Stegostoma tigrinum: one gene and its partners. The protein of the gene in region 3 interacts with the protein of the main gene of each other region in a pairwise test. Links are inferred from orthologs where the notes say so. Each region holds a gene or a part of one and is shown on either strand. Other genes may lie near its edges. The genes, in order: amotl2a, cep70, mfap1 and protein bicaudal D homolog 2-like.

The links.
Region 1: the proteins of mfap1 (region 3) and amotl2a interact in binary tests that used the Homo sapiens proteins (3 or more experiments, as listed by UniProt). The two-hybrid records come from large-scale screens. The link is inferred for Stegostoma tigrinum from reciprocal best matches to the Homo sapiens genes MFAP1 and AMOTL2.
Region 2: the proteins of mfap1 (region 3) and cep70 interact in binary tests that used the Homo sapiens proteins (3 or more experiments, as listed by UniProt). The two-hybrid records come from large-scale screens. The link is inferred for Stegostoma tigrinum from reciprocal best matches to the Homo sapiens genes MFAP1 and CEP70.
Region 4: the proteins of mfap1 (region 3) and protein bicaudal D homolog 2-like interact in binary tests that used the Homo sapiens proteins (3 or more experiments, as listed by UniProt). The link is inferred for Stegostoma tigrinum from reciprocal best matches to the Homo sapiens genes MFAP1 and BICD2.

What each region holds. Positions count from the first base shown.
Region 1 is NC_081367.1:1,412,897-1,421,316, forward strand, and holds the start of amotl2a (angiomotin-like 2a), read right to left. Parts: upstream 3,094-8,420; 5' UTR 2,832-3,093; intron 2,697-2,831; exon of another isoform or gene 2,340-2,696; intron 905-2,339; exon of another isoform or gene 799-904; intron 1-798. UniProt on the Homo sapiens protein: Regulates the translocation of phosphorylated SRC to peripheral cell-matrix adhesion sites. Required for proper architecture of actin filaments.
Region 2 is NC_081360.1:66,673,249-66,680,868, reverse strand, and holds the start of cep70 (centrosomal protein of 70 kDa), read right to left. Parts: upstream 3,554-7,620; 5' UTR 3,209-3,553; intron 3,043-3,208; exon of another isoform or gene 2,917-3,042; intron 1-2,916.
Region 3 is NC_081389.1:22,688,519-22,696,588, forward strand, and holds the start of mfap1 (microfibrillar-associated protein 1), read left to right. Parts: upstream 1-4,899; 5' UTR 4,900-4,984; coding exon 4,985-5,066; intron 5,067-6,673; coding exon 6,674-6,890; intron 6,891-8,070. UniProt on the Homo sapiens protein: Involved in pre-mRNA splicing as a component of the spliceosome.
Region 4 is NC_081364.1:29,078,279-29,085,732, forward strand, and holds the start of protein bicaudal D homolog 2-like, read right to left. Parts: upstream 3,479-7,454; 5' UTR 3,182-3,478; coding exon 2,966-3,181; intron 1-2,965. UniProt on the Homo sapiens protein: Acts as an adapter protein linking the dynein motor complex to various cargos and converts dynein from a non-processive to a highly processive motor in the presence of dynactin.

The DNA of each region.
Region 1 (8,420 bases), on a different chromosome or scaffold from region 3:
TTCCAAACATCACAGACACACACACACTATACATGTATACACATTTGATATCAAACAATGAGATCCGTCAATTAATTGTTACATACTTCATAGAACCCATAAGGTCAGGAGGCCATTCAGCCCATTATGCTTGTGTCAACTCTTCAGATGAGTTTCAGTTTCAGCCCCTTTGCTTTCACACAGTCCTGAAAATCGTTTCCTTTTGGAAATTATTTTTTGAAAGTTCTTGAAGCTAACTCCATTACCCTTTCAGGCAGATAATAAAAAGTTGCTTTTTTCAAATATTCTCCACCAAGATTCTTTTACCACTCGCTATGAACCTGTGTCCTCTAGTTATCCAGCTTTGTTGCCAATGGGAACACTTCAACTCCCCAAAACAAAAACCTTTATCATTTTAACAACCTGTCAAATAGTCCCTTTACCTTCTCTGACTAACAATCCCAGCTTCTTCAATCTCTCCACATAACAAGTGTTCTTTGCCTTGATACTATTCTAATAAATCTCCCTTGCATCCTCAATCTACCAAATTCAATACATTTTTTATACCAATTAAGTCTTGAAATCAATTGTAACATTGCAAAACTACACATGCCCATTGAATTCTCAGTGCAGTAAGTTTGTGAAATGGGCACAATGAGTGATTTACAGGCAAGCACAGGACTCTATATCGTACAGTGTTTCTTTCAAGCTCGAACAGTATGTGCACAACTTGCCAACACTTACTCCCCCTCGTCCTCAGCAAAAATACTGAAGTTATTTCCAAGAAAATGACACAGGATACAATCTAGCAGCACTAACCCTGTCACATTGCGTTCCAGAGCCTGCCCCAGCCAAATGCTGCCCACATGCATGCCCCTGGGAACTGTTTCCCTGGTGACAGCACGTCAGGCTGCAACAACAGCTATCCAGGCTCAGGGTAGTTGTTTTATCATCACAAGATAATGGCATGAATTTGAGGAATGTCAGACATTAAATTGTGAGTATGAAATGACTATTGCAAGAATCTGGCGGGGGGGGGGTGGAAAATGGAGTTGGGGATTGGCTGCTGAGACGTTGAGCAATTGTTAGCCTGAATATCCTGTGGGAAACTTCCACAATAAGTTGTGAAATTTAAAGATCGTGAGTGATTTCTTCTCAAAGCCCCTACATTTAAAACCGCCTGTGTTTTATCTGATCCTAAATCTTTAACTATATCAGACAACATGTTGTAAAACTCACAACATAGGTGAGAAATTCATTTTAAATTTTAAATCTTGTTTGACAGGAATTTGGAATGGATTATTAAAAAAACATGTAAAGGAGGGTCTGCACGACCACTGGACTACAGTCACAAAGATTTTTGAAACGATTTGAGGCAATGCTGGCAGTAATGAAAGCACAAAATCACTTAGTCCATTGTGAGAATGGATGGGTGATCAAGAGTGAAGAGATCCCATTATTCCTCCAATTTAGATGTGTTTCTGATTTTACTCCAGATCAACAGAATTTCAGGCCACTCTCATAAACCCTGCCTCAAAATTGCAAGTGTTTTTTCCAGCTAAAATGCCAATAATAATTATTACCATTTCTAACCATTCAAACTTGCAGGAAACAGATCTGGTCCCAAAATACATTTGCAGAAGGTGAAAAAAGCAGATCATCAGATATTAATAGTTGATACACAAATAAAGGTATATTTTGAAAAGTTGGGCTACTTTTTTTAATGTATGGCTTTCCCTGAATGGGGCCACTAACAAAATACAACAGACTTGCAAATGGAACTGAATTCCTGCAAATTTCCAAAACAATAGCTCATTCACTAACCTGCAACATCCTGGGGCAAAACATGCATTCCACAACAATGTGAAAACATCTTTCAATCCACTACTGCACTCAACTCAAAAGTCTGCTCATTTCACTCTCCAGCACTAATCCATCATCCCATATATTTTCAATATTCTTCAAAAATCTCTAATGTTAAACATAAAAAGATTTTCTTGCCATTAACATCTGTAAGGATTATTGAAGAATTTCAGCGTAACAATTGCATCAGAGATTGCAGCATGTCAAAGAGCCTAATTGTTTACGAACTTAATTATTATTTGATAAAGTTCTCTCCCATCTGTAAAGTTTACAGTAAACTAAGTTTTTTTGTTCTCTTATAAACGGTAATAACATAAAGGTACACTTTATTTTTTGCACTATAATATAATTACTAATACAGAGAGATTTTATAATCTATAATCTTTCATACAAAAGTAAATATTACAATACAATATTGCATTCTAAAATCTTTACCACCTTGGGGTGAATATTACAATCCTTATCTTCACTATAGCGTGAACATTATAACTCATTACCTTTACCAACACTGGGTGAAAATTACGATCCGAAATCTTTACCAACTCTGGGTGAAAATTACAATTCGAAATCTTTACCAACACTGGGTGAAAATTTGAATCTGAAATCTTTAGCAACACGGGAAGAATATTTCAGTCTAATCGTGACTAAGTCGGCGTATATTTCCTTCACTGGCTCCTTTTGGCTGGCACATTCCTGTTGAGTGAGCTCAGCAGCCAGTAGGCTGTGTGACGGAGATCAGCTCACGCCGGCACTGGGAGAAACGGCTCGGGGAGGCGGACAGTTTCCGGCTGAGACCTGTGAAAATGCGGCTGCTCACACCCGTAAGGCGAGCAAATAACTCTCCCGTGAGCAGATGAACCCGGGGGAAGCACTCGGAACAGGTCGCACCTTCTCCAGACTATTCGGCAGGCTCGAGTGTGAAATCCGTTCGAGCTTGTCCCCAAAAGGCTGAACAGACACTATAATAGAATGAGAAATGGGAGACTGACCTGGAGTGGGGTTTTTCACATCAGGGACAGAGTCCTAGCTCTGCCTCAAGCTCAGATTTCGGTGCTGGAAGTGACCGTGGTGTGGGAACTGGGAACCGGACAGCCCTAGCCGCCTGTTTGCTTGCTCGCTATGGAATGGCAAGATCCCAGCTGCAGCCGGGGCGATGCAGCAGCGGCAGGAATGTCAGGAATGCGCGTTCCTGGCTCTATCAAAGGCAGCTCCTACCGCACACCAAGACTCAACCTGCAGAGGGCACACACAATGAGCAAACAGTTCAATCTCACGGCACAGCACAGAGTGATAACACTGCGGAAAATACCATCTAAACTGGGGGGTGGGGGGCGATGCTGGAGAAACTCAAACAGCAGCTTGCATTGACACCGGAGCGATGGATATCTGGGACTCTTCTCCTTCCCAATCCCGGGGGCTATGCAATCTTTAAGCCCTCAAAGTAGATGAATTGAAGTTGAGTTTATTTAAAAGCATGGAACAAAAACAAAGTTGCTGGAAAAGCTCAGAACACATTGCCGTGTGGAAGGGTCACCGGACCCGAAACGTTAACTCTTTTTTTCTCCTCCACAGATGCTGCCAGACCTGCTGAGCGTTTCCAGCAACGTTTTTGTTTCCGATTTACAGCTTCCGCAATTCTTTTGGTTCTTATTTAACAGCATACCGCAGAAGATAATAAATACGACAAAGAAGAGCTGGCGAGTGGCACTTACTGGTCCGATACTCACATTTCAAAGCGGAGCTCCAATATCACCAGTATGGAGATTTGCACTGGGGAGAGAGACAACAAAGGATAAATGGGGATGTGGGACACAGTTCCATCACCCAGCAGGCAATGGGCAAACATATTGGAGGTCGAATGGTCTCACTAAACTTCAGGAGCGGATGTAAAACGGCCAGTCAAGTCTGCTCCACTTTTCCATAAGGTCATGGCTGATCTGATAAATCCTTAGCACACTTTCCCACCTTTGCCCCATAACCCTCCATTCCCTTGCTAATTAAACAGCTGTCTATCTCAGCCTTGATGATCTGGCCTCCACTGCCTCTGTGGCAAAGAATTCCACCATTCATCAACCTCCCAGAGAAAAGAAATCCTTATCTCTGCCTTAAAAGGGAGACCCCCTTCTTCATAGATGATCCCCTCTAGTGGTAGACTCTCCTACGAGGGGGAACAATCTCTCCATGCTTCCCCCAGCAAGTCTCTTAGAAATCTTATATGTTTCAATAATTTCACCTCTCATGTTTCTAAATTCGAATGAATCCAGGCCCAACTTATTCAGCCTCTCCTCAAATGACAGTCCCTCAACAACGAGGAGGGAGCCTTCTCTGGACTGGAGGGTATGCCTCTGTATCCTGCCTTAGAGAAGAGGACCAAACTGCTCACAGTATTCCAGCTGTGGTCTGACTCCCCTTTTTAAATACCTTGCTTTGAAATAATGGCCAACATTCCATTTGCCTTTCCTATCACTAGCTGAATTTGGATGCTAACCTTTTGTGATTCATAGCTGAAGACTTCCTCTGTTCTGTAGCTTTCTGCAATCTTTCTCCATTTAAACAATATTCAGCTCGCCTATACTTCCTGCCAAAGTGCATAACCTCACATTTCCCCACATTATATTCCCTCTGACAAGATTTTGCCCACACTTAACCTGTATGTATCCCTTCGCAAACTCTTTGCATCATCCTCACCACTTCCTTTCCCAACTATTTTGTGTCATCTGCAAATGTGTCTATAATATATTTACTTCCCTCAACCAAGTCATCAATTCACATTGTAAATATTTGTGGGTCCAGCTCTGATCCCTGTGGCACACTAGTTAGAGTTTTGTCATTCTGAAATCCCCTCTTTATCCCATCTCTTCAGTAAAATTTCAATTCCCACTTCTTTCACCAGACCTGAACACCAACTGGCAGGAATCACCCTGATTCCAGGTTGTTTAAGTCACTACTAAAAGGACCAAGAAATTCTCTTTGCCCAGATCCAAAATCAAAATGTTATGAATCAAGCAATTAAAACATATAATCATAAAATTAGAAATGAGTTGCCTTGACTCCAGGGATTGGATTGTCAAAGAGTAACAGTGCCTGAGTTGAAGATGTACAGGCTAGTTAAAGAGGAATAAATATTAGTACAGGTTCTCAGTGATACCACAGAGTACCAAAATACAGCTAGTGCAGATTAGTTGTTGGCAGGAGCACAGTTCATGTCATTGGATTACTGTATTGGAGAGTGGGGTGTTTTGGCTGCTTGGCAAGAGCTCAAAGAAAGTTCAAAAAATGTCTGTCCATAGAGACAGGTTTTATAGACTGCCTTGCCTGCCATTGAGATACCAGTCCAGAGTACCTCAGACATCGGATGTCTACACATACACCATCCCTGAGGCAGCTTGCTCCTTATAGAATCTCTACAGTGTGGAAGCAGGACATTCTTCCCATCAAGTCCACAAACATCCTCTGAAGAGCATGCCACCCATTCACTTATCCCTATCCTGTGGGCCATTTCCAATGGCCAATCCACCTGCACATCTTTGGACTGTGGGAGGAAATTGGAGTGCCCGGATGAAACCCACACAGACATGGGGTGAATGTGCAAAGTCCACACAGACTGTTGTCTGCGGATGGAATCCTGGCTCCCTGGCACTGAGCCATTGTGCCATTCACAGTTTTTGTATGGATTTTTAAACATCAGTGACTCTACAGTTTTGATTACTCTTACTGTCTCTTTGTTCAACTGATGATGGAGTGGTTTGATGCCTTTCTCCAAAGTGGCAGAGAAACTACAGAAAGTTGCGAGCTCAGAGCTAGGATGGAAAGAAACCTTAGGGGATGCTTTGCCTAGTACAGAAGAGATGACTGAATTAGTAGAGGCTGCCAAATGGATCTCTTCAGTCTTTGTAATAGAAAGTCATGAGTGCTTCATGTTGGAGGTGAGGGTGGAAGGAACAGGACAGCAATGTTTACCAAGATATTCAGTGGTGAAGACAAGGAGCTTTCCATTTCTTGTGTCTTCCTGGATATGTCAGCATTTTTAGTGATGAAGCAAGGTGAAATGATGTTGTATATGGTTCAGTCAGATCTGAAGGTGAATGATAATCATGGGGGTATTAGATAAATGGTTTTGTGGAAGCAGATGTGACTCCAGCATGGTGTGTTGTCTCCCTGGTGCCAGGATCAAAGGTATTCTGAAGAGTGTGGGAGAACACTATAGTCAATATCAGTAACCAAGACCATAGGCAAAAAGAGAAATATGATCCTTCAAGCAGAATACAGGGAGCTGGGAAATACATTCAAACAGTCGGAACACAAATATAGCAATCTTGGGATTACTCCCAGTACCACATATGAGCAGGATTGGAAATAGGAGAATAGAATATTTGAATGAATGACTTGGCATGAAGAAAGTGGTGTAGGAGGGAGAGATTTAGATCCTGAGGCATTGGAATTGGTATCTCGGGAACTGTACAAGCTGGACAGGTTGCATATCAGCAGGAACACAAACAATGTCATTGTAACAGAATTTGCTATCATTGTCATGGATGAGAATGAGAAAGGCTGGGAACTTGATCAGGGATACAAGAATGAAAGTTAGAAACATAGAACTTGAAAATGGAAGACAGAAGAATGAGATCTAGCAGTTGTGCCATAATCATAGCCACACAGTCATAAAGATGTACAGCATAGAAATAGACCTATTGGTCCAACTCACCCCTGCCATCAAGATATCCTAAATCAATCTAGTCCCATTTGCTAGCATTTGGCCCATATCCCTCTAAACCCTTCCTATTCATGAATCCATCCAGATGCCTTTTAAATGTTGTAATTGTACCAGCCTTCACCACTTCCTCTGGCAGCTCATTCCAAATACACACCACCATCTGCATGAAAAAGTTGCCCCTCAGGTTCTTTCTAAATCTTTCTCCTCTCTTGCTAAACCTATGCCGTCTAGTTTTGGACTTACCTAGCCTGGGGAAAAGACCTTGGCTAATCAGCCTATCCATGCCCCACATGTTTTTACAAACCTTTAGAAGGGCAGCCCTCAGTCTCTGACACACCAGGGAATAAAGCTCCAGCCAATTCAGGCTCTCTCAATAGCTCAAACCCTCCAATCCCTGCAACATACTTGTAAATCTTTTCTGAACCTTTTCAAGTTTAACAACACCATTCCTACAATAGGAAGATCAGAATTAATCACAGTATTCCAATAGTGGCCAAGTAAATGACCTGTACAGCTGCAGCATGAGCTCCCAACTCCTATATTCAGTGGTTTGACCAATGAAGCCAAGCATGCCTTGTCCACCACCCAGCCTACTTGTGGCTCCACTTCCATGGTACTTTGTTCAGCAACACTGCCCAGGGCCCAAATGTTACCTGTATAAGTCCTGCCTTGGTTTGCCTTACCAAAATGCAAAACATCACATTTATCTAAATTGAACTCCATCTGTCACTGCCATTAGCCCATCTGATCAAAATCCTGTTGTTATCTGAGATATTCCTCTTCACGGTCAACTCTACCACTAATTTTGGTGCCATCTGCAAAGTTATTAACCATACCTCCTAGGCTCACCTCCAAATCATCTATATAAATGACAAAAATCAGTGGTCCCAGCACTGATCCTTGTGGCACACGACTGGTTTCACACCCCTATTCCTAAAACCAACCTCCACTACAATGCTCTCTCTTCCATCTTCAAGCCAATTTTGTATTCAAATGACTAGTTCTCTCTGTATTCCATTTGATCTAACCTTACTAACCAATCTATCATGCAGAACCTTGTCGAACACCTTACTGAAGTCCAATATCTTCCACTCTGCCTTTGTTAATCTTCTTTGTCACTTCTTCAAAAAGCTTAATCAAGTTAGTGATACATAATTTCCTATGCGTAAGTTCATGTTGACTATTCCTAATGAGTCCTTGTCCTTCCAAATGCATGTTAAATCCTGTTCCTCAGAATCCTGCCTAACAACCTACCCATCACTGATGTCAGGCTTACCAATCTATAGATAACACAGTGCGGAGCTGGAGGAACAGAGCAGGCCAGGCATCATCAGAGGAGCAGGAAAGTTGATGCTGTGTTCCTCCAGCCCATACTGCGTTATCTCTGACACCAGCATTGGCAGTTCGTACTATCTGTTGTCAGTCTATAGTTCTCTGGCTTTTCGTTACCACCTTTCATAGTTAAATGTTTGGAACTGACTCAGGTAGGTGATGTTCACATTGCAACTAGTTGTAACCAGGAGCATTGTGATTGCCATTAAAGAGACATGGCTATCAGGTGTCTAAAGCTGGGAACTGGATGTCTAAGAGTATTCAATGCTATGGAAAGGCTGACATAAAAGAAATGCAGAAGGAGCGGCATTATTAGTGAAAGAATGAAATCAGTGTAATAAGTGGAAGGATGTTGATGTAGGAAATCTTGATTTGGAATCAACCTGGGTGGAAAAGAAGTATGAGGTGGAAAACATTAGTGGGAGTTGTATATAGATCTCCAAAGTAGATGAGGTAAGTAATAGCATTAAACAGGACATTTGAGATGCACGCAGCATGGGTGCTACAGTAAACAAGGGTGACCTCAATATAT
Region 2 (7,620 bases), on a different chromosome or scaffold from region 3:
AATCAGTAATGCAACTCCCCCAGTCCTTTGTATCACTCTTTAACATGCATGAAACGTCTAAATCCTGTAATGTTGAACTGCCAGTACCGAACTTCACTCAAACAAGTTTCAACATTGTAGTTCCTTTTACTAATCCAGTTCTCCAAGTTCATCTGCCTTAACTATTATGCTCCTTGAAATAAGTACACTTCAGGCTGCCACTCTGATCTAGTTCAATAACCTTGTCAGGCCTGCTCTTCCTATTCAAGTGACTTACACTGCACTGATTCCCAATTCCTTGCAGCACTAGCTTAAACCCTCACGAGTGGCACTTGCGAACTTCCCCGCAAGAATATTGGTACCCCTCTAGTTTAGGGGCAACAGGTCCTTCTTGTATCCATCTCTCCTGCGCTGAAAGAGATCCCAACGATGCAGAACACTGATGCCCTCCTTCCTACACCAGCTCCTCAGCCACGCATTCAACCACATTATCTTTCAAAACTTCTGGCCTCACTAGCAAATGGTACAGGGTGTAGTCCAGAGATTACAATGCTAGAAGTCCTGCTCTTCGTTTTTCTATCTTATTCCTTAAACTTTCTTTGCAGGACCTCATCTCTCTTCCTGCTTCTGCCGTTGGTACCAATATGGACCATGATCTCTGACTGCTCACCCTTCCGTTTCAGAATGTTATGTGCCCACTTAGAGCCATTCTCAAACCTTGCACCAGAGAGGCAACATATCATCCAGAAGCCTTGCTCATGGCCAGAGAAACATCTGTGAACGAGACTACAGAGTCTCCTATTACAACCACTCACCTAAACTTCGATCCTCCCTGTTGTACAACAGAGTCAATCATGGTGCCACTGTCCTAACTGCTGCAGTTGCTATCCTGAAAGAGCCCATATCTTCCCTCCCCACAACCCACTAATATCCAAACTAATATACTTCTTTGACAGATGAATAGCTACAGTGGATTCGTACAATTCCTGCCTGCCCCTCCTGGCAAACACATCAGTGACTGAACCTTTGTTTTGGCCATATCCCAAAACTTATAGCTATAAAACTTTCTGCCTCCAGTATACTTCGCAATGAGTCCAACTACTGCTCCAACCCATCCACAAAGTTCAAGAGGAGCTGCAAGGTGGACACAGTTGTCAGGGATACATGACCTCTCCCAGATCTCTCAGGGGGTGCATACCACTCCAACTTCCATTACTACCCCTCTGGAAATTACTAGATTAAAAAGGAAAAAGGAAAGACTTGACCTTGCTGCATCTTAATGTTACTTGCCCTCATTACAAAAGCCCACACGTTGAACTCAAGCTCACAGCCCTTCTCCAAAGCGGCCACTCCCACAAGAGCTCACTTTCCTTTAATATGCTACCAGTAGGAAGGGAAAGTTGGTCTCTTACATGTCCCTGAGATAATGGGAACTGCAGATGCTGGAGAATCCAAGGTAACAAAGTGTGGAGCTGGATGAACACAGCAGGCCAAGCAGCATCTCAGGAGCACAAAAGCTGTCGTTTTGGGCCTAGACCCTTCATCAGAGGGGGTCTGATGAAGGGTCTAGGCCCGAAACGTCAGCTTTTGTGCTCCTGAGATGCTGCTTGACCTGCAGTGTTCATCCAGCTCCACACTTTGTTTTAAAAAAGTCAGGGACATATAAGAGAACAACGAGCCTCTGTTGGATGCTCTTCCCCTTTTTTAAGCACAGATTCCTATTGTACGTGAACTCCTGTTCAGATACAAAGCAACACAAAATGTGATATCTTCAGTTTTTGCCTTGTTACAAACTTCAGTTTTCTGGTCATCACAGTCTCCATCTTCACAACAAGCATTTCTAACTATCTCAATCATTTTTCTAACCTCTGCACTGCATCTGTCATCTTCTGTCTTCGTTTGTCCTAAGTAGCCAATTTAAGTAATTATTTCAGGTAACAACATTCATTTCATTCTGGTTTCTTTCAATGTACTCATTTTTAAACAATCATTCTATTGCCTTTTTGGTATACACACAATGAATATTCTGAATTTATAGATTTTACTTGATATTTTGTTAGCCCACATCCAGTTCTGCAAGCAGCAATGTGCTCATCAGCACACAAGATTAGTTATTGCTTCTGATTAATCCTAAACACTTGTTCTGTAAATAAATTGAACAATAATGTGGTTTACAACACTTTTCCTTTTACTCAAAATGCATTTCATTGCTTCTTTGTAGGCCAGTGTTCACTACTTAGAACCTCTCCAGACTTTGGATTCTTATCTTCATTATCAATATCACATTTCAGCAAGATAACAAAGCGTGTAGCGGGATGAACACAGCAGGCCAAGCAGCATTTCAGGATCACAAAAGCTGACATTTCAGACCTAGACCCTTCATCAGACCCGCTCTGATGAAGGGTCTAGGCCCAAAACGACAGCTTTTGTGCTCCTGAGATACTGCTTGGCCTGCTGTGTTCATCCAGCTCCACACTTTGTTATCTCGGATTCTCCAGCATCTGCAGTTCCCATTATCTCTGATCATATTTCAGCAACATGTCTATTACCTTTTTTTGGGCGATAAACATGATCAAACACTTTTTCATATTCTATGAAGTACATGTCATTTTTAAAATAGCAAATATATGCATATCTTATTCACAGACAGGCCACAGCCACAAAGCAGAGATGACATGAGTTGTCGGATCTGCAGACTGAAAAATCTGTAAATGATAAGTAGGAGAAACGGTTCGTTGCAGTTATCAACGGAGAGCAAGTAAGAGTGTACATACTCAGAAATAGTAACAGAAAATGCTGGCAACGTTCAGCTGGATCAAACAACCTGAGTGAAAGCTGTGTGAATATCGAAATATTGAATCAATGACTGTACCTCAATTACTACTTCAAACCACTAGCAGAATAATATTTCGGCCAATATCGTCGCTTAATACATACCAATTCTCCACCTTACTGTATCTACAGTTTCAAAAATGAATGAACGCCTCCCTCCGGTCTCTTCTTTCTAATACGCAACCGCCGTTAACCCACCCTCCACAGGCCGAGCTGTTCAACAGCCGGACATTCGGCGGGAGGGGAGACCCCACCACAAAGCGATACGGGGGGGGGGAGCAAATTACAGTTATTCCATATTATCAACATCGTTTTTTTTTTCAAAAAAAGGTTTACTACAACTTTTCCAATATTACCACAAACAAATTCAAACCGTTTCCAAAACACACATACTTACTGCTTAGCTTCTTTATCATCGTCAATAATTTCAATCGCCTTTATCAGCTTCTCCCTTTCCCTCAAGATGATACGCTCCCATGGGCAGAGCCAACCCCCTGAACGTCGACGCGCAAGGTAACCGCACCCTCAAGTACAAATTAGCCACTCAGGTTACATACAGAGAAAAAACCAATCAGAAAGCAGGAAATAAACAAATCGGAGATAATGGGAACTGCAGATGCTGGAGAATCTAAGATAATAAAGTGTGAAGCTGGATGAACACAGCAGGCCAAGCAGCATCCCAGGAGCGCAAAAGCTGACGTTTCGGGCCTGGACCCTTCATCAGAGGATGAATAAACAAATCGGATCGGTGGGAGTTAGCCAATGAAATCACATGCAATGAACCAATCGGATTAGCCAATCGGATTAGGGAACGCGAACGGGGATTCTTCCCGTTGGAGCGGGAGAGAGGTGAGTGTTTTCGCGAGATCTGGTCTGCGCAGCAGTGGAGGGAGTTAGGGGAAAATGTGTATTTTGTGTGCACGACTATCCTGACGGCTGTGTTTACTGCTGAAGGTGTCAGATGCAAATCAGGCAGCGATCCGGGGTTTTCCTTGGATATCTATGTGAAGAACACGGCCGCTGTCGCGAGGAAGGTTGTGGCTGCGAGTTGCCATAGTTACGGTCGGTGTTGGCCAGACGCGGAGGAGCTCAGAGCTAATAAATAACAGGTGGCCTTTAAATTTTCCTTTAGAAACATTGTGATTCCTGCTCAGTCTAAGATTAAACTTTACCTTCCTATTTTAGAGTTAATTTTTAAGTCCCTTATCGAAGTCATTAGTGCTGTAAACTGGGATTAATGTAGATAACAAAAGTGTGGAGCTGGATGAGCACAGCAGGTCAACCAGCACATTAGGAGCACAAGAGCTGACGTTTCGGGCCTAGACCCTTCATCAAAAAAGTAGATTCTGTTCTGAGGAAGGGTCACCGGACCCGAAACGCTAATTCTGTTTTTTTATTTCCTTCACAGATGTTGCTAGACCTGCTAAGCTTTTCCAACCACTTTGTTTTTGTTCCTGACATACAGCATCGGCAGTTCTTCTGGTTTCTATTTAGTATTTTTTTTAGAGCAGATCACACATGGCTGTCTCCTGACATTTTAATGAAGTAACAAGTCATTGTTTATCGCTGAACTTACTAAATTCCAGGTGGTCCAACTAGTTGAAGGCGTTTAAAGCAAATATATTCAGTCAGTATTTACCAACCGTTTCATAGGCTAGAATAAAATATACTCATGATTGTAATCAGTGTTTAGGACGGCATCTTAACGAGTAAAGCAAATGAAGTAAATAACTACCAATATCAGAGATAACAAGGTGTAGAGCTGGATGAACACAGCTGGCCAAGCAGCATCAGAGGAGCAGGAAGGCTGACGTTTCAGGCCTAGACCCTTCTTCAGAATTCTCCAGCATCTGCAGTCCCTACTATCTTAGAAACAATTTTAACCACCAATGTCACTTCAAGTGTTCATCTAAGTTTTTTTTTAAGAATGGGAGTTTAATCACCTCAGCCAGCCTTCTAGGCAGCGCACTCCAGATCCTCTGCCCTCCGCGCAAAATAAAAATTTCCCCAAGTCTCCTCCAGACCTCCCACCTTTCACTCAAAAGTGTCCCATGATTTAGTGTTTATTTTAAACTAAAATTTCTTTAATTGTGAACGAATACTTCTTCCAAAGCAAGTGGCTTATTATATGACCAGAGATGCAGGAGTAGGTGTTGTTCCTTTGCTTTACTGATTAGCAACCAGAGCAATAGCCACAGAAAATCTATCGCTGGACCACAGTAATACCACAGCAGATGCCAAGGTAGCTGAAACTGTACTTAAGAATGTTCTTAAGATAATTCAAAAGAAGTGTTTGGCATTTTTTCATTATTAGAGGCTTGCAGAGCAAATCCAGAGTGAAGTGAGTTAACACAGAAAGCTAACATTGAGGCTGCCGGAGTTCTAGACTGTTTATGTACTACAAGCAAAGTTTTGATGACAAAGTCTGAATGGTTGTTCATCAAATATCTGCCCAGATATCATAAGAAAAAAATGCACATGGAGTTCCTATGACAGGGCATATAGGAATACAGAAAACACAGGCATTGAAACATAGATAATTTACATGGTCAAGATTTCATATGTATCAGATGGTAGAAAAACCTCACCATGAAATCAAACCAGCAGCATTGATAGCCAAGCTGTTTTTTTTTAAAGAACGATTTAGTTGAGTGTTAGTAGATTGTGTAGGACTATTATCACAAACAAAAGCAGGTTAACAGTCTATCCTTAAAGTTCTGGTTAGGAAGGATTTTATCAAATTGGAGAGGGTTCGGAAAATATTTAGCAAGATATTGCTTGGAATGAGGGGGTTTCAGTTATAGAAATATGCTGGGACTTCTTTCACAAGAGCATAGGAGGTTGAGGGGTGACCTTGTAGAGGTTTATAAAATCATTAGACTCAAAGAAAATGTGTATAGCAAAGGTCTTTTCACTAAGGTGGGTGAATTCAAAACTAGGGGGCATATTTTTAAGGTGTGAGGGGAAAGTTTTAGAATGGCGAGGGGCAATTTTTTTTTACACACAGTGGTTTGTGTGTGGAATGAACTGTTAAAGGAAATGGTGAATGCAGGTACAGTTACAGTGTTTAAAAAACATTTGGATAAGTCCTCAACCAACCTTCCAGACCCCACCACAACCCTCTTTACAGGTTGGCATGATGGCTCAGTTGTTAGCACTGCTGCCTCACAGCACCAGGGACCTAGGTTCACTTCCACCCTCGGGTGACTGTCTGTGTCGAGTTTGCACATTCTAGCAGTGTCTGAGTGGGTTTCCCCCGGGTGCTCTGGTTTCCTCCCACAGTCAAAAGACGTGCAAGCTAGGTGGATTGGCTGTGCTAAATTGCCCGTCGTGTTCAGAGATGTGTAGATTAGGTGGGTTATAAGGATAGGTCTGGGTCGGATGCTCTGAGGGTTGGTGTGGACTTGTTAGGCCAAAGGACCTGTTTCCACACTGTAGGGACTTTGAGATGAGATCAGTATATGAATTGGAAAGTTTTGGATGGATGTGGGCCAAATGCAGGCACTAGGACTAATTTAGTTTTGGAATATGATTGGCATTGCCTAATTGGACTGCTGGGTTTGTTTCCATGCTGTTTGACTCTATGAATCTGCAGGATTCTTTACTGCAGAGGACTGTAGAACTGGGTCATCAAGTATGTTCAAGGCTGAGATGGATAGATTTTTCATTAATAAGGCATTCCTGGATTATGGTGAAAAGTTTAGGTGATGGAGTTAAGGATTACAAGATGAGCCATGATTTCATTGAATGATGCAGCAAAATTAAATGGCTGAATAACCTATTTCTGCTCTCAGACTCCTGGTCTTATGGCCATAGATTGGAATACAATTCTGTTAGTTCGAATGCCCGACAGCACCTCATGAATACCCAGTCTTGACGTGCTAGATCTATCTGATCTATCCCATTTCACGTGGTGATTGTGTTACACAGAACAGTGCAAGGTTTATTCAATTTGAAATGGAACTTCGTCTTCACAGAAGACCACCATACCGTGGTCGCTCATACCGATACTGTCATAAACAGATGTATTTGCCACAGTCAGCTTGATGAGGGTGAGGTTAGCGGTGTTTTTCCCTCTTGATTCCCTCACCACCTGCAGCAGATCCAGCCGTGTTCTTGAGGACTTTGTCAGTTTCATCAGTAGTAATACTGCTGAGCAATTCTTGGTAGACATTGAAGTCCCAAACCCACAGAACATTCTTCGCCATAACCATCCTCATTACTTTCTGCAAGTGGTGTTGTACACAAAAGTGTACTGATTCATCTGCTTGGAAGGAGGCAGGGGGAGATCATAGTTGGTAATCAGCAGGATGTTTTGTGCTGATTGTGTTACCATCACACTACACTATGCATCTGTCTTGCCAGTCTATACCCAGGGGTGCTAATGTTCTCTGAAATATGTGTAAGGTGTGATTCCTTGTGAATGTCTTTGTCAGGCTTTTGTTTCATTGGTCTGTGAAACCCTCTCCTGATTTTGGCACAAACCTCCTGGTGTTAGTAAGTAGGATATTGCAGAGTCAACAGGGCTGCATTTACCATTGTAATTTCAGGTACTAAATTCTAGGTGGTCCAACTAGCTTGGCTTTCTAGCAATTTATACAACTGAAGTTGTTATTGATGCAACTGAATGGCTTGATATGCCATTTAGGAAGGCAGTTAAAAGTCATCCATATTGCTATGGGTCTAGACTCACACAGAGGCTATTTTCCTTGTCTAGATATTTGTCAATCCTACAGGTTTTTATACCATTGGTTTTGTGGTCCAGAAATTGGATTGAATTCAAATTTCACCATCCGCTGTGGTGAGATT
Region 3 (8,070 bases):
CGACATTAATTCGACAATATTAACTCGATGCAGAGTTCTACCAACAAAGAGTGTATAATTTGACAAGAAGTTTGTGAGAATTTGACACAGTAATCTACTAGCACCATCTACTGAGAGTAATTCATTATTTCCTGCATGTCTCCCCTGGAGCTTCCTAATCAGTTACTTTCTTGTTTCGCAGATTAGATTAATGCAAAAATCATAGTGTCAGGTTATCACCATAGCCATAAAACCCAAGTCCTAGTCTCTTTGGTTTAGTCAAGACTTCAGCCCATCCAAAATACTTTGAAGTGTTGTCACTGTTCAAATATCTAAACCACAGCAACCAATTCTTGCAAATTGCAATGGTCATGATCAAACAAACTTTCTTCTATTGGGATCAGTATTGGCAAGGACACCAGGAAGAGAACTCCTGCTGCTCTATGAATTGCCAAGATGCTCTGCCTTCTTTCAGAGGCAGAATGGGCCACAATTTAAAAACTCTTCTGAATGTTGGTACCTCCGGCAGCATAGAGTCATACAGCACAGAAACAGACCCTTCGTTCATGCCAACCAGGTTCCCCCAACTAAACTAATCACATTTGCCTGTTTGATCCATATCCCTCCAAACCTTTCCTATTCAAGTACCTGTCCAAATGTCTTTTAAATGCTGTAACTGCACCTGCATCCATCGCTTCCTCTGGCAGCTCATTCCATTTACACACCAGCCTCCGTGTGAAAAGTCACCCCTTGAGTCCCCTTTAAATCTTTCCCTTTGCATCTTAAACTTATGCACTCCAGTTTTGAACTCCCCTACCCTAGGAAAAAGACCTTTGCTATTCACTTATCTATGCCTGTCATGATTTCATAAACCTCTGTAAGGTCACCCCTCAACCTGCTACTCTCCATGGAAAAAGATTCCAGCATATCCAGCCCCTCCCTATTACCCAAACTCTCCGGACCTGGTCACATCCTTATAAATCTTCTCAGTACCCTCTCCAATTTAATAGTGTTCTTCCTATAGCTGGGCAACCAGAACTGTACGCAGTATTCCAAAACTGTCTTCACCAACATCCTGTACAGCCACAACATGACTTTCCAACTCCTATACTCACCACCTGTCTACCAATACCATCACCAACTCTGTAAGTTCTTACTTTGCCTTACCAAAATGCAACGCTTTGCGTTTATCCAAATTAAACTCCATCTGTCACTCCTTAGCCCATTGGCCCGGCTGATCAAGATCCCATTGTATTCTTTAAATAACCATTTTCACTGTCTACTATACCACCAATTTTGGTGTCATCCGCAAACCTACTAACCATGCTTGCTATATTCTCATCCAAATTATTTATGTAAATGACAAACAACAATGGTCCCAGCACCAAACCCTGTAGAAAGACTCACTGGTCACAGGTCTCCAGTCCAGAAAACAACACTCCACCACCACCAATTTTGCGTCCAATTGGCAAGCTGTCCCTGGATCCCATGTGATTGAATGTTACTAAGCAGTCTACCACGCAGAACCTAGTCAAAGGCTTTACTAAAGCCCATATAAGCAATTTCTACTCTCTGGCCACAACGATCTTCTTGGTCGTGTCCTCAACAAACCCAATCAAGTTTGTGAGATGATTTTCCATGCACAAAACCATGCTGACTATTCCTAAGGAGTCTTTGCCTCTCCAAATTCAGGTAAATTCTCTTTCTGAGAATCCCCTCCAGCAACTTAACCACCAGTGACTTCAAGCTCACTGGTCTGTAGTTCTCTAGCTTTTCTTTGCAGCCTTTCTTAAATAAAGACACAAACTTAGACACCCTCCAGTCCTCCGGCACCTCACCCATAGCTATAGATGATGTAAGTATCTCTGCTAGGGAACCTGCAATTTCTTCCCCAGCTTCCCACAATGTTCTAGGTACACTTGATTAGGTCATAGTCATACAACACAGAAACAGACCCTTCAGTCCAACCAGCCCATGCTGAATGTAAACCCAAACTAAACTAGTCCCACCCACCCGCACATAGTCAATATGCCCCTAAACCTTTCATATTCATGTACTTTCCTACGTTATTTTTAAATGTTGTAACTGTGCCCGCATCTGCCACTTCCTCAGGAAGTTCATTCCACATGCAAACCACTCTCTGTGTAAAAAAAATTATCCCTCATGTCTTTTATTAATTCTCTCCTCCCTCACATTAAAAATATGCTCCCTAGTCTTGAAACTCCCTATCCTAAGGACAATGTCTCACAAATGTATCTACCTTTTTGCATTTTCAGACCTTCAGCACCTCTTTTTCTGTAAAGTGAACTATTTTCAAGACGTCATTATTTATTTCCTTAAGTTTTGTCAATTGTATCTATTTTTCTCCAGTAACTACAGTTGTGAAATATTCACTTTGTACCTCTCTCATCTCCTGTGGATCCGCATAAATATGGCCTTGTTGGTCTTAAAGTTTCCTATTCTCTTCCTAGTTGCTCTTGCGCACTTAATGAATTTGTAGCATCTCTTTGGATTCCTTATCTGCCAAAGCTATCCCATATCCTCCTTTTGCTCTCCTGATTTGCTTCAGCCAGCAGGAAGCCTGACAGCTCACTGTTCAACCGCCTTTGGTTCATCATTATCATTATCATCATCATCATTTGTGGTCCCTTGCAGAGAAGGATGACTCTCTTTCAGTCTCAGGGTTTGTATGTAGGTGGCTGTACAGACCACTGCAGCTACCACAGGCTCTATTACACTTGGGTCAGTTAGTGCTCACTCAAAGGGTTGGTGCGACAGCGCTCTCCTTTTGCTGTTTGCACCTGGTTTCCACTTTTTCCCAACGGCAAGTCTCGAGATACTGGGCACCTTCCTGGGTGCCCCTCCTCCATTTTGGCCAGTGATTCCCAGGTGTCTGGGGGAATGCTGTATTTTGTCAGTGAGACCTCAAGGGTAAATGACGTGAAGAGTCATGACGGCTGCCAACTTCTGCCCTTCGATTTTGTATCTGGTGGGGCATGCGACCAGTGAACCCAGAAAAATTGAAGGTGAATGTGCAGTCACAGCAGGGCTCAGAATCACAGGCGTCTCGCTGGTTTGGATTTAATGATGCCTCCCCACATTCCAGTTGTGGAGCAGCCATTAGGCTGTGGCTGTCATGAAAATAGTAGTTTCCACGGGAGACACCATTGCTGCCGTGGGGAAAGCAGTAGCGGTCACTGTGTGTACTATGTAACTGCCGAAGTAGCAGTAGCTGCTACAGTGTGGCCTTTGCGGAGGAGGTCATTATTTGGCTGTATGCAAGGCCACGGTGACCATTAAGAAGGCCACGTTCAGGCTCAGGGTAGGCAGTAATGGCCACATGATAGTTGTTGTAGATGTGGGGTAAGTGATTATTGTGACCGAAGGGAAGGCAATAGCAACAGTGGGGCGGCTATTTTGGATGCAGAGCAGCTACTGCAGCTGTATAAATAGCCATTCTCGCAGCCCAGGTCAAGGGAAGGTGTGAGGTAAGGAGGGTGCAAAGATGAAGTGATGGGTCCCCTTAATCCCCTCAAGGGATTCACTTCATCTATACCTGACATATGCTTCTTATTTTTCTTACTTCCTGAGTACTGGGAAGGTCAGCCGGTCTTTGGTATAAAATCCCATCAGGTAAACTTTGTACTCAGATGCTAATGAGCTAAAATGGAGATGAGCAGAAATATTTTATATTTGGCGGATTTTTATATCTGGAAGACCTGGTGGAGTCAGATTCCACCGAAAGGTTTAAAGGACAATTAGTTGAAGAGGAAAAGTTTACAGGGGAATAAGTGAGCATCTATTAGCACAGTCAGAGTGGGCTGAATAGCCTTTTTCTTTGGTGGAAGGTTCAGCTTGACATTAACAGGTATCTGGATAGCTTCTGAGCTTCTGCATCATCTGAAGATGTGGTAAAGTAGAAAATAGGTGCGGCAAAATGGTTCATTTTTCAGCCAGTGTAAGCAGAATGAGCAGGCTGGTTTCCTTCTGGCTGCCACAGTTCATTTTCTATATGCAGGAAACTTTTTATCGTCTGACACCAAACGGGACCAGGAATGTGCTGATTGGTCAAATATTATAGATAATTAAGAGGTTCACATCATCAATGTAAATGTAATGTGGGGGTATACACATTTTTGGCATAAATTACTTAAATAATAATGTAATTTTGCCTTAAATAAAACTTACCAGCAGACAGCCTTCTCATTTACACCCTCAAATGACTATTGGACAGTGCGGTAGATACAGCCGTAAGGTCGTTGTGCACAAAAACAGAACCTTTGGTCCAATAAGTCAATGCCAACCAGGTATCCTAAGTAAATCTAGTCCCATTAGCCAGCATTTGGCCTATATCCCTTTCAACCCTTCCCATTCATGGACTCATCCAGTTGCCTTTTTGATGTTGTAATTGTACCCAGCTTCACCACTTCCTCTGGCAGCTTATTCCATACATTCCCTCTGCGTGAAAAATGTATCCTCAAGTCCTTTTCAACCCTTTCCTCTCTCATTTAAGAACCGATACGCTGTAGTTTTGGACTGCCCCACCCTAGAAAAAAAGCGCATTGCTACTCACCCTACCCATGCCCCTCATGATTTTATAAACCACTATAAGCCTCAGCCTCTGATGCTCCAGGGAAAATAGCCCCAGCCTGTAAAACGCATCCTTGTAACTGAACCCACAAACCTGGCAACATCCTTGTAAATCTTTTCAGCACCCTTTCAAGATTAATAATATCTTCCCTCAGACAGGGAGACCACAATTGGACACAGTACTCCAGAGGTGGCCCAACCAATGCCCTATACAAGCCCCGCCCATATCCAAACCACGCCCACCTACAAAGCCCCGCCCACACGCGTGACCGGTGCAGTGACGTCAAACGCCAAAGGCATAAATAAGGCGAGTTCCCTGATGAGGTCATCACTCCGCGACTCCTGCCCGCCATCTTGTGGTTGTTGTGTAGGTTGTTTTGTTTGAGTTCGGCCTCTGAAAGCTGCAGCGCGAACCATGGCCGCCCCGCTCAGCCTGAACGCCAAGCAGCCGCCGATTCAGTCCACGGCCGGAGCCGTGCCCGTCCTCAATGAGAAAGGTGAGTGGAACCGAGTCCCCCCAGCCCATCGATACAGTATCCGCACCCCCCCGCGGCTCTCGGTACAGAGACCTCCCCCTCCTCCATCCCCTGGGCTCTTGGAATAAGTAACACCCTGAACCCCCCCCCTACCCCCGGCTGTCGGGACAGAATCTCCCCCCCCCCCCTCCCCGAGCTGTCGGTACAGAATCTCAACCCCCCCCCCCCCCCCCCGAGCTGTCGGTACAGAATCCCGCCCCACCCCCACCCCACCACACCCCACCACCACCCACCACCACCCCACCCCCCCCAACACCCCACCCCCCCCAACACCCCACCCCCCCCAACACCCCACCCCCCCCAACACCCCACCCCCCCCAACACCCCACCCCCCCAACACCCCACCCCCCCCAACACCCCACCCCCCCCAACACCCCACACCCACCAACACCCACCCCACACCCCACCCCCCCACCCCCACACCCCCCCACACCCCCCCACACCCACACCCCCCCACACCCCCCCACACCCCCCCACACCCCCCCACACCCCCCACCACCCCACACCCCCCCACACCCCCCCACACCCCCCACCCGTCGGTACAGAATCCCGCCGCACCCCCCCCCCCCCAGCTGTCAGTACAGAATCCCCCGGCTGTCGGTACAGAGACCTCCCCTCCTCCATCCCCTGGGCTCTTGGAATAAGTAACACCCTCACACCCCCTCCCCCCCCCCCCCCCCCCCCCCACCAGCTGTCGGTACAGGGAGCTACAAACCCCTCCCATGGGCTCTTGGTACAGGAGCACCCACTCCCTCGGGCTTTCAGTGCTGGGGGTGACTGGAATACACAGGGATACAATGATCCAGTGAAAGCTGCATTCTGCTGAAACATTTTTGGTGTGCTATTCAAATTGATGTTCCCTCTAGCCTCAGTGTCCAGCCCCTCCTTCCCCTCAACACCTGTCCCTCATTACTACCTCTTGTGTTCCTTTGGTCCTGACCCTAAAATGAACTGCTGAACCTGGATGAACTTGCTGCATTCCTTCTCTCAGAGCTACATTGATGAACATGTAACTGAGTGTTTACAAGACACAATCTAAAACACACTCAGCCATCTCTGATCCACACAGTGCGACCCCTATCGCTGCACTTGTTCTCAACCATAGTTGAATAAATGCTATGCCCCAATTTCTTTGTGGAATTTCACAGTTTAATTATGGAATTGCATCAGCTACTTGCTGCAGCCCCTGGTTCACCTTATTACCAAATTGCGCCTTAATATCCCTCAAGCAATTTTTCTTCCTTGAGTACCTCACTGTTTTACCCCTCTCAGCCAAACTGCTTGCACCACTTCATTCTTGGTCCACTGCTACCTCTAAGGTGCTCTCCTTCTCTTGACAGTCATACAGCATGGAAACAGAGCCTTCGGTCCAGCCAATCCATGCCAACCACGTTCTCTGTTAAACTCTTCTCTGTGACATCTTGTCCATAGTGCTATTAATCTTTGTCCCGTCTTGGCCAAACTGTAATAGGAGCGCTAGCAACTGGGCTTCTTTGGATCACAATGCTGATGACCCTGTGGTTACTGTAGTAATGGCCTTTGCTGAATGCACCTCCCTTTTGTGCCAGGTGAGGTGTCGATGGAAAAAGTGAAAGTCAAGCGCTATGTCTCTGGTAAGCGACCTGATTATGCGCCAATGGAGTCCTCGGATGAAGAGGAGGAAGACTTCCAGTTTGTGAAGAAGCCAAAGGATGCAGAGGCAGAGCCTGAGGTGCCAGAGGAGCTGGCAAACGACCCTCGTCTGAAACGTCTCCAAAACCGACTCTCTGAGGATGTAGAGGAAAGGTGAGAGAATCTGAAGCTTCTGGTCCTGCCAGGCAAACCCAAGATCATTTTTATGTATGACATACAAAAATTGAAATTGCTGGAGAAATGCAGCTTTGGGAAAGCAGAATCAACATTTTGACTTGTGTCCCTCCTTCAGAAGTCATAATATTGACCCTTTTCTCACCACATGCTGTCAGACCAGCTGAGTTTCTCCAGCTATTCCTATTTTTGTGTTTCAGATCTCAAAGGTCCACCATTCTTTGTTTTATGTTATTTTTATTTGTTTCTGAAAATGACCTGGTTCCTCCCTTAAACGCATTGCCTGATACTGAGCTACATAGATCCTGAAGGGTCTGGATAAAATGTTTGTCCTCAATTGATGGTAATGGGAACTGATCAGTAGTTTCAGTGCCCTTCAGTTAGTGAGAGGACTTAAAAAAAACAGAATTGTTGTTACTAATTAGGAATTGAGCACATAGGCCAAGCTCACATTTTAGCATCAGAGATAATGGGAACTGCAGATGCTGGAGAATCCAAGATAACAAAGTTTGAAGCTGGATGAACACAGCAGGCCAAGCAGCATCTAGACCCTAGGGCCTAGACCCTTCATCCGAAACGTCAGCTTTTGTGCTCCTGAGATGCTGCTTGGCCTGCTGTGTTATTCCAGCCTCACATTTTGTTATCTGACATTTTAGCATGATTGATTTGATTTTTGTTTTAAGCTTTATTGTCACGTGTACTCAAGTACAGAAGTACAGTGAAAATTGTGTAATGCCACCACACATGTCACAATCATAGGTACTTAGGTACAAGTAGTAACATCGATAATACTTTAGTTTTAACTTTATTTTTCTGCTTATACTAAGAACAAAGAGAAACAAAGTGAAAAGTTAACATTGCAGTCCTTCCTGGTATTAAGTCAAAAAAAGGGAACAGAGGTTAAAGTTCAACAGTCTTTCTTATGTGCTGTCCCTACAAGGGCTCAGTCTCCTTTGCTTTGGACCACTCTCTGGGAAACCTCAGGCTTCCTCAATGCTATTGATAAATGGCACTTCAGATGCTGCAGTCCTCTTTCAAATGCAATGTTTAACCAAATCCCATTTGCCATCTCAAGGAATGTCAAAGATCCTGCAGTATTCTTTCCTGGTGTCCTGGACAGAATTCATGCCTCAAACGAAATAACTGAGAAAACAGACTA
Region 4 (7,454 bases), on a different chromosome or scaffold from region 3:
GCCTTTGGCTTTGATCTTTATGTTGTCATTGTCCACGGGAATAGCGCCAGAAGACTGGAGGATAGCAAATGTTGTCCCCTTGTTCAAGAAAGGGAATAGAGACAACCCTGGTTATTATAGACCAGTGAACCTTACTTTGGTTATGGGTAAAGTGTTGGAGACGATTATAAGAGATAGGATTTATAATCATCCAGAAAGGAATAATTCGATGAGGGACAGTCAACACTGTTTTGTGAAGGGTAGGTTGTGCTTCACAAACCTTATTGAGTTCTTGGAGAAGGTGACCAAACAAGTGGATGAGGGTAAAGCGGTTGATGCGGTGTATACGGATTTCAGTAAAGCGTTTGATAAGGCTCCCCACAGTAGGCTATTGAAGAAAATACGGAGGCATGAGATTGAGGGCGATTTAGCAGTTTGGATCAGAAATTGGCTAGCTGTAAGACGACAGTGGTGATTGATGGGAAATGTTCATCCTGGAGTTCAGTTACTAGTGGTGTAACGCAAGGATCTGTTTTGGGGCCACTACATTTTATAAATGACCTGGATGAGGGCATAGAAGAATGGGTTAGTAAATTTGCAGATGACATTAAAGTCGGTGGAGTTGTGGACAGTGCGGAAGGATGTTGCAGGTTACAGAGGGACATAGATAAGCTGCAGACATGGACTGAGAGGTGGCAAATGGAGTTTAATGTGGAAAAGTGAGAGGTGATTTACTGTGGAAGGAGTAACAAGAATACAGAGTACTGGGCTAACGGTAAGATTCTTGGCAGTGTGGATGAGCAGAGAGATCAGTAAGGGTGTGGAATTCCCTGCCTGCAACAGCAGTCAACTCTCCAACTTAAAAGGGCATTTAAATTGTCACTGGATAAACATATGGATGATAGTGGAATAGTGTAGGTTAGATGGGCTTCAGATTGGTTTCACAGGTCGGTGCAACATTGAGGGCCGAAGCGCCTGTACTGCACTGTACTGTTCAATGTGCTACCTGTGGGCCAGAATGTCTGGGTTCAAGTTCCACCTGCTCCGGAGGCGTCATGATAGATCTGAATGGGTTGATTAAAAATATCCAGTGACCCTTCCCATTTTCCACACAACCTGTAATAAATGTGAAGGAATTATCTAACGAAATGTTAAAAAGATAAAAAAAACTGTGTTATATTCCATAGTATCTTCTGTTGAGTAATTTATTATTTACAGCAGAAAAAGTTTAAATCACTCATTGAAAAAATATCTTTTCAAATCCTTGAGATTGCAAAGTTCATTTTTAACTTTGCTTAATAGAACAAATTTGCAGAGAAATGATCTCTTTAGATTTCCATAAATATCAGTTAGACCTGAGTTTGTGAAGGTGAATACAAGTCCTTTCATGTATCTTTCTTGTCTTAGAAGTCCAATATGCCATTTCTGATCCTTTCCTGCATATATCAAACTAAAACTACTTGCTTGATTTGTAACTGAAATGTTTAAACATTAAAATTTGAAGACAGCAGTTTTCCCACCCAATGTCATTCAGACCCATAAATATCAGCTCAATTAAAGAATATGAAAATAAACACTCAAAAGCCTCATATCCCACGTAATACTGAGAGAAATATTGAAACTTCCAGTACATACAATTAACATGACTTGCAAACGTTAACATATTTCCTTCAAACACAGTATGACATTACAATGCTTTGACGTTTCATTAAACCGATAATTTATTATTCAAATGCTCTAAACAGCTCACATTTGAAAATCTCAATCCGAATGTTATCCTAATGAAATAATACATTTTCTTCATTATGAAAATGCTCCACAATCCAGATTGAGATTTGATTTTTAATCAATTTAACATAAACTTGTAAAAAGATGTGCTCTATAGATGTAGTTATATCCACAAACTGACCTTTTCCAAAACAGAAATTGAAGTCTATTATCGATTTGAACCAAAAAAAAGTCAATAATAGTTAAAACCAAAAGAAATCTTCATTCTAGAATGTAATTGATTCAATTTTGTATCAGCATGCTGTATCAACCAAGCAGGCAAGCTAAGCATGACTTTCCCAATGAGTCACTAATCTAATCCAGAATTCTGAAAGGAGGCGTCAAGTCAAATCCAGTGATGTCTTGAGTGGGGAAAAAAACATACAACCCAAAGACAAGCAATGATTCACATCTCATAAGTATTTCATTTTACAAGGCAGTTACAGAATGTCTGCATATGAGGAGCACTTTACCTTCATGTACTGTGATAGTACAATATTGTATATCTAAACATTTTCTTTCCGGTCTGAACATCTTAGTCACTAGATGTATTAAACTAGTTTGGCTCAACAGTCTAGTCCTGCCCAACATATTTTATGCAATTTCTTCGTGCCAAAGATTCGTGGAAATATTTTCTCTTGAGAATTTTTTTAGGTCTTGTCAAAGCGTTATTAAAACAAAACTTATCTTACAATTTTGCATTGTCTGGCCATTTGACTGGCCATCAAACTCTAATTAGCTGATTTACCTAGTTTGTACATTTGACTTATGCCGAGGGGGAAGTGTTTTTTTTAAATCTAGTGGCCTCTGCTTGATGGATCTCTGACCATGCTTCCCGTGGATCTAACAGTGGTCACTAATCCGATCTATGACAATCTGCTGAAAGATGAGGACAAAGGGATTCCTCCACTGCGAGAATTCATACAGTTACAGTAGGGGATTCAACGGTACGAACAAGCCACTGTGAGCCATTTGGCACAGCACAACAACTATTATTGAGCAGTGAGGTGGCAGATGCTGGGAGCTGCTGCTTGAATCTGTCAACGGTCAGACGCTCTTGGGCAATGGGTGGGTCTTCGGTCAGTTTTTTTTTGAAGAATCCAACCAATACATTTTAAGCAAATGATTAACTTATTTTTAAAACAAAACCGTCTGTACAAAAATCGGGATCGAGATTTGGTGATATTATTATCCTTTTTCCTTGCTCAATAAGCCTCACCTCTCGGAGCTGCTCCAACTCCTGTCTGACTGTCTCATACTCGCCCTCCAGATCCTCATACTGTTGTTTGAGGCTCTGCTTCTCCTCCAACACCACCAGCCCGTACTCGGCCGCCTGGATCTTCTCCTGGGTTGTTTCGCTCAGCTCCCGGTTCAGCCGCTCGACCTCAGTCCGCAGGAAACTCTCGCTCTCCATCAGTGGCTCCTCCGCCTGCATGGCGCCGCCGCCCGCTCGCTCGCTTCTCGGCCGGCCAATTCGGTCCGGATCCCGGGTCAGCTGAGTTAAAACGGGGTCCTCGCTGCCTTGGCCACCATAGCTTCACCCGGCTGGCCCACCGGCCAGGCAGCGAAACTCAGCCTGAAGGAGGGGGTGGAAAATGAAGGCGACCAAGTGCGAAAGACAGAGAACGCTTCCCCCAACGTCTCCGTTCTGCCGGCTCCTGGGTCTGCTACTCCTGTCTCCGCCCCGTTAGGCTGCTCCCCTCCTCCACCATCCCGTCGCCATTGCCGCTGACATTCCTTCCCAGCTGCTGACGTCAGCTCCTTCCCCACAGACAAGGAGCCGCTTGAGGACACTGCGTGGTCCCCACACCCTGTGTTCTATACAGTTTATCATACACCCTGTAATCTATCCAATAAACTATACACCCTGTAATCTATACACTATATCATACACACTAAAATATATACAGTAAATCATACACCTAATTTATTCAATACATCATACCCCTTGTAATCTATACAGTCTCTTATTCACCGTGTAATCTAAAATACTGTGCAATATATACGAAATATACATCCTATTTCTGATGTGATAATGGGAACTGCAGATGCTGGAGAATCCGAGATAACAAAGTGTGGAGTTGGATGAACACAGCAGGCCAAGCAGCATCTCAGGAGCACAAAAGCTGACGTTTTGGGCCTAGACCCTTCATCAGAGAGGGGGATGGGGAGAGGGAACTGGAATAAATAGGGAGAGAGGGGGAGGTGGACCAAACATGGAGAGACAAGGGAGTTGCAGTGGGAGAGAGATTCCCTGAGGTTGGTCCAGAGGGAGGAGGGTAACTTCTTCAGCTTAGGCATCCCTGGAAGAGGCTTCGCAGTGAGGTTAAAATTGTATCAGTGATAATGGGAACTGCAGATGCATCCTATTTCTCATACCTGTAATATATTGTGTAGTGTTTATAATATATCATACATCATACATCCTGCAATCAATGCAGTAAATCATACACCTTGTCATATACACAATGTATCTCATACCCTGTAATATATAGTGTAGTATACATAACATACATCATACATCTTGTAATATATATTGTATATATAATATATCATATAACCTACAATATATACAATATAATACATATAATGTATCATACACCCTGTGATATATAAATATAAAATATACAATATATTATATACCCTGTAAAACACAATATACTATGTATAACATAAAACACACCATGTAATATACCCACCATATTATACACAATCTACATAACCCCGTAACATACACATTTATGAAGAAGGATCCCAAACTGAAACATAAGCTTTCCTGCTCTGCTGATGTTCCCTGGCCTGCTGTGTTCCTCTAGCTCCGCACTTTGTTATTGCTGGCACCCATACCATATTTAAAAGGATGCTGTGAATCTGGACAATCACTATAATTCCGAAGCTGCTTTATCCGGTGACAGTCAGTTTGAACACATTGGAAAAATGTAAGCTGCAGGCCTGAGGTATAACTAAGATTTTGTATTTTGCTGTATAAGAAGATGAATACCCCATTGACTGAGGACTGCTGCCATCAAAGCAAGCTGCCTGGCTGTGGAGCTGGGCTGAGGCAAGGCAAGGCAGGACACCGATACTTTGAGAACCCAGGTGAACAAGTTCTTAGAAAGCAAGCCGGCAGCCTTAAGATGCAGCCTTTGCCCAGCCTGTGAGCTGAGTGCCTGTCCCTGCAGCAGCCTTTCAATACCAGTTGCCGGTGTGCTATGTAATGCAAGTCTGTGCTTCCTGAGTGACCTGCAAGTGTATTGGGATGCCACAATAGTTTATAGACGTTTTCAGGTAGAGCCAGCTCTGAAGAAGGGTCACCAGACCTGAAACGCTAACTCTGATTTTCTCTTCACAGAAGCTGCCAGACATGTTGAGTTTTCCAGCAACTTGTGTTTTTGTACCAAACTACACTAATCCCATTATAACAAAGTGTGAAGCTGGATGAACACAGCAGGCCAAGCAGCATCTCAGGAGCACAAAAGCTGACGTTTCGGGCCAAGACCCTTCATCAGAGGCTCTGTTATTGCTATGTGTTCAAACTGACTGTCACCGGGTAAAGCAGCTTCAGAATTATAGTGATTGACCAGATTCACAGCATCCTTTTAAATATGGTATGGGTGCCAGCAATAACAGAGGCTCTGATGAAGGGTCTCGGCCTGAAACGTCAGCTTTTGTGCTCCTGAGATGCTGCTTGGCCTGCTGTGTTCATCCAGCTCCACACTTTGTTATCTTGGATTCTCCAGCATCTGCAGTTCCCATTATCACTGATACACTAATCCCATTGTTCTGTGCTTCGTCCATTGCCTTCTGTGCCTTGGCATTTTAAGTGCACATCCAGATGTTTCTTAAATGGTGCAATAGTATATGCCTCCTCCAACCTCTAAAGCAGCATGTTCCATATTTCTACCACCCTCTGGAAGAAATAAAGTTTCCTCAGATCCCCCTTAATGAATTACTCCTCACTTTAAACATGCTGTATGCCCTCTGATTGTAAACACATCTACGATGGGGAGAGAATTCTCACAATCTATCCTGTCTATGCCTCTCATAACCTTGTCACTTCGATCAGATCCCCCTCAGCCTCCTCTGTTTCTGCCCCAAGGAAAACAAGCACGCCCTATTCAGTGTCTCCTCATAACTGAGATTTTCCATCCCAGGCAACATCCTGGTAAATCTCCTCTGCACCCTCTCCAATGCAATCACACCCTTCCAATAATGTGGCACCAGAATGCAGGATTCCTTCTGTGGCCTAATAAATGTTTATAAAATTGTAACAAGACCTACTTGCTCCTCTCTTCTATGCTTCAGCTAATAAAGATCAGCATCCCCTATGCTTTCTTTATCATCCTGTCTATTTGTGCTAATGCCTTCAAGGGATCCGAAGCTGCAACACTGTATTCCTCACGCTGTTCTATTACTGTTATGCACTTTGTAATGTATCATCTGCCTGTACTGCAGGTAAACACAACTTTTCACTGTAGCTAGGTACATGTGACAATAATTAATCAAAATCAAACCAAATCAAATCTATTGACTTAGACGCCAATGTCCTTTTTTCCCTCAGCAGTCCCCATGGATCTACCATTCATTGTGTATATCCTACGCTTATTAGATCACCCAAAGTGCAGCATTTATCACATTAAATTCCAACGGCCATTGCTCTACCCAATTTACCAGCTGACCATATCAGATTGTAGCCTGACACCATCCTTCTCATTATTAACAAAATGTCCATTTTTTTGTGTCATCTACAAATTCACTCATTATACCTTCTATGTTCACATCCAAGTTGTTAATGTGCATAACAAACAGCTATTGTCCCAGCACCAAACCCAGTGATGTGCTGCTGATCACTAGCTTCCAATTATGAAACCAACCTACCACTGTCACTCTTTGCCTCCAATTTGTGAACCAATTTTGCATCCAGTTTGCCAACTTGTCTAGGATACCATGGACTCCTACGTTTTGGCTTGCCTTCCATGTGGGACCTTGTCAAAGGCCTTATAGAAGTCCACGTATACCACATCAACTTTGTTACCCTCATCAATATATTTAGTCACCTTTTCAAAAAATTCAACTAAATTAGTCAGACACGATATCCTTCCAACAAGTTCATGCCGATCATCCCTGATCTATCCCTGCCTTTCCAAATGCCAATAAATCCTGTCTCCTGAAATATTTTCTCATTATTTCCCTACCACCGATATCTGATTGGATGATCTGCAATTACCTGGCCTTCTTAAACAAAAGAACCACATTATCTATTCTCCAGTTATCTGGCACTTTACCTGTTGGTAGCAAAGTAATAAATATCTCATTCCAGGGCATCAGCAATCTTCTCGCTTACCCCAACGAAGCAGCCTGTCATACATTGCATCAGGCCTTGGGGATTTACATACCTTTATACCTGCTAAACTTCCACCTTCTTTTTCTTAACATGCTATAGAACCTCACCATTCCAACTGAAATATCCAGCTACATTGTCTTTAACCTTTGTGAAACAGATGGTAAATATTCAATTAAGACCTCACCCATGTCTTCTGGCTCCATGCACAGATTTTTCCTTTGGTCTCTACTAGAGTCCCCTCTTTCCCTGGTAATCCTCTTACTGTTAGTATAGAATATATTTATAAAATGCCTTGGGATTTTCTTTAATTCTATCTGCCAAAGATATTTCATGGCCCCTCTTTGGCTTCCTAATTTATTTTTAA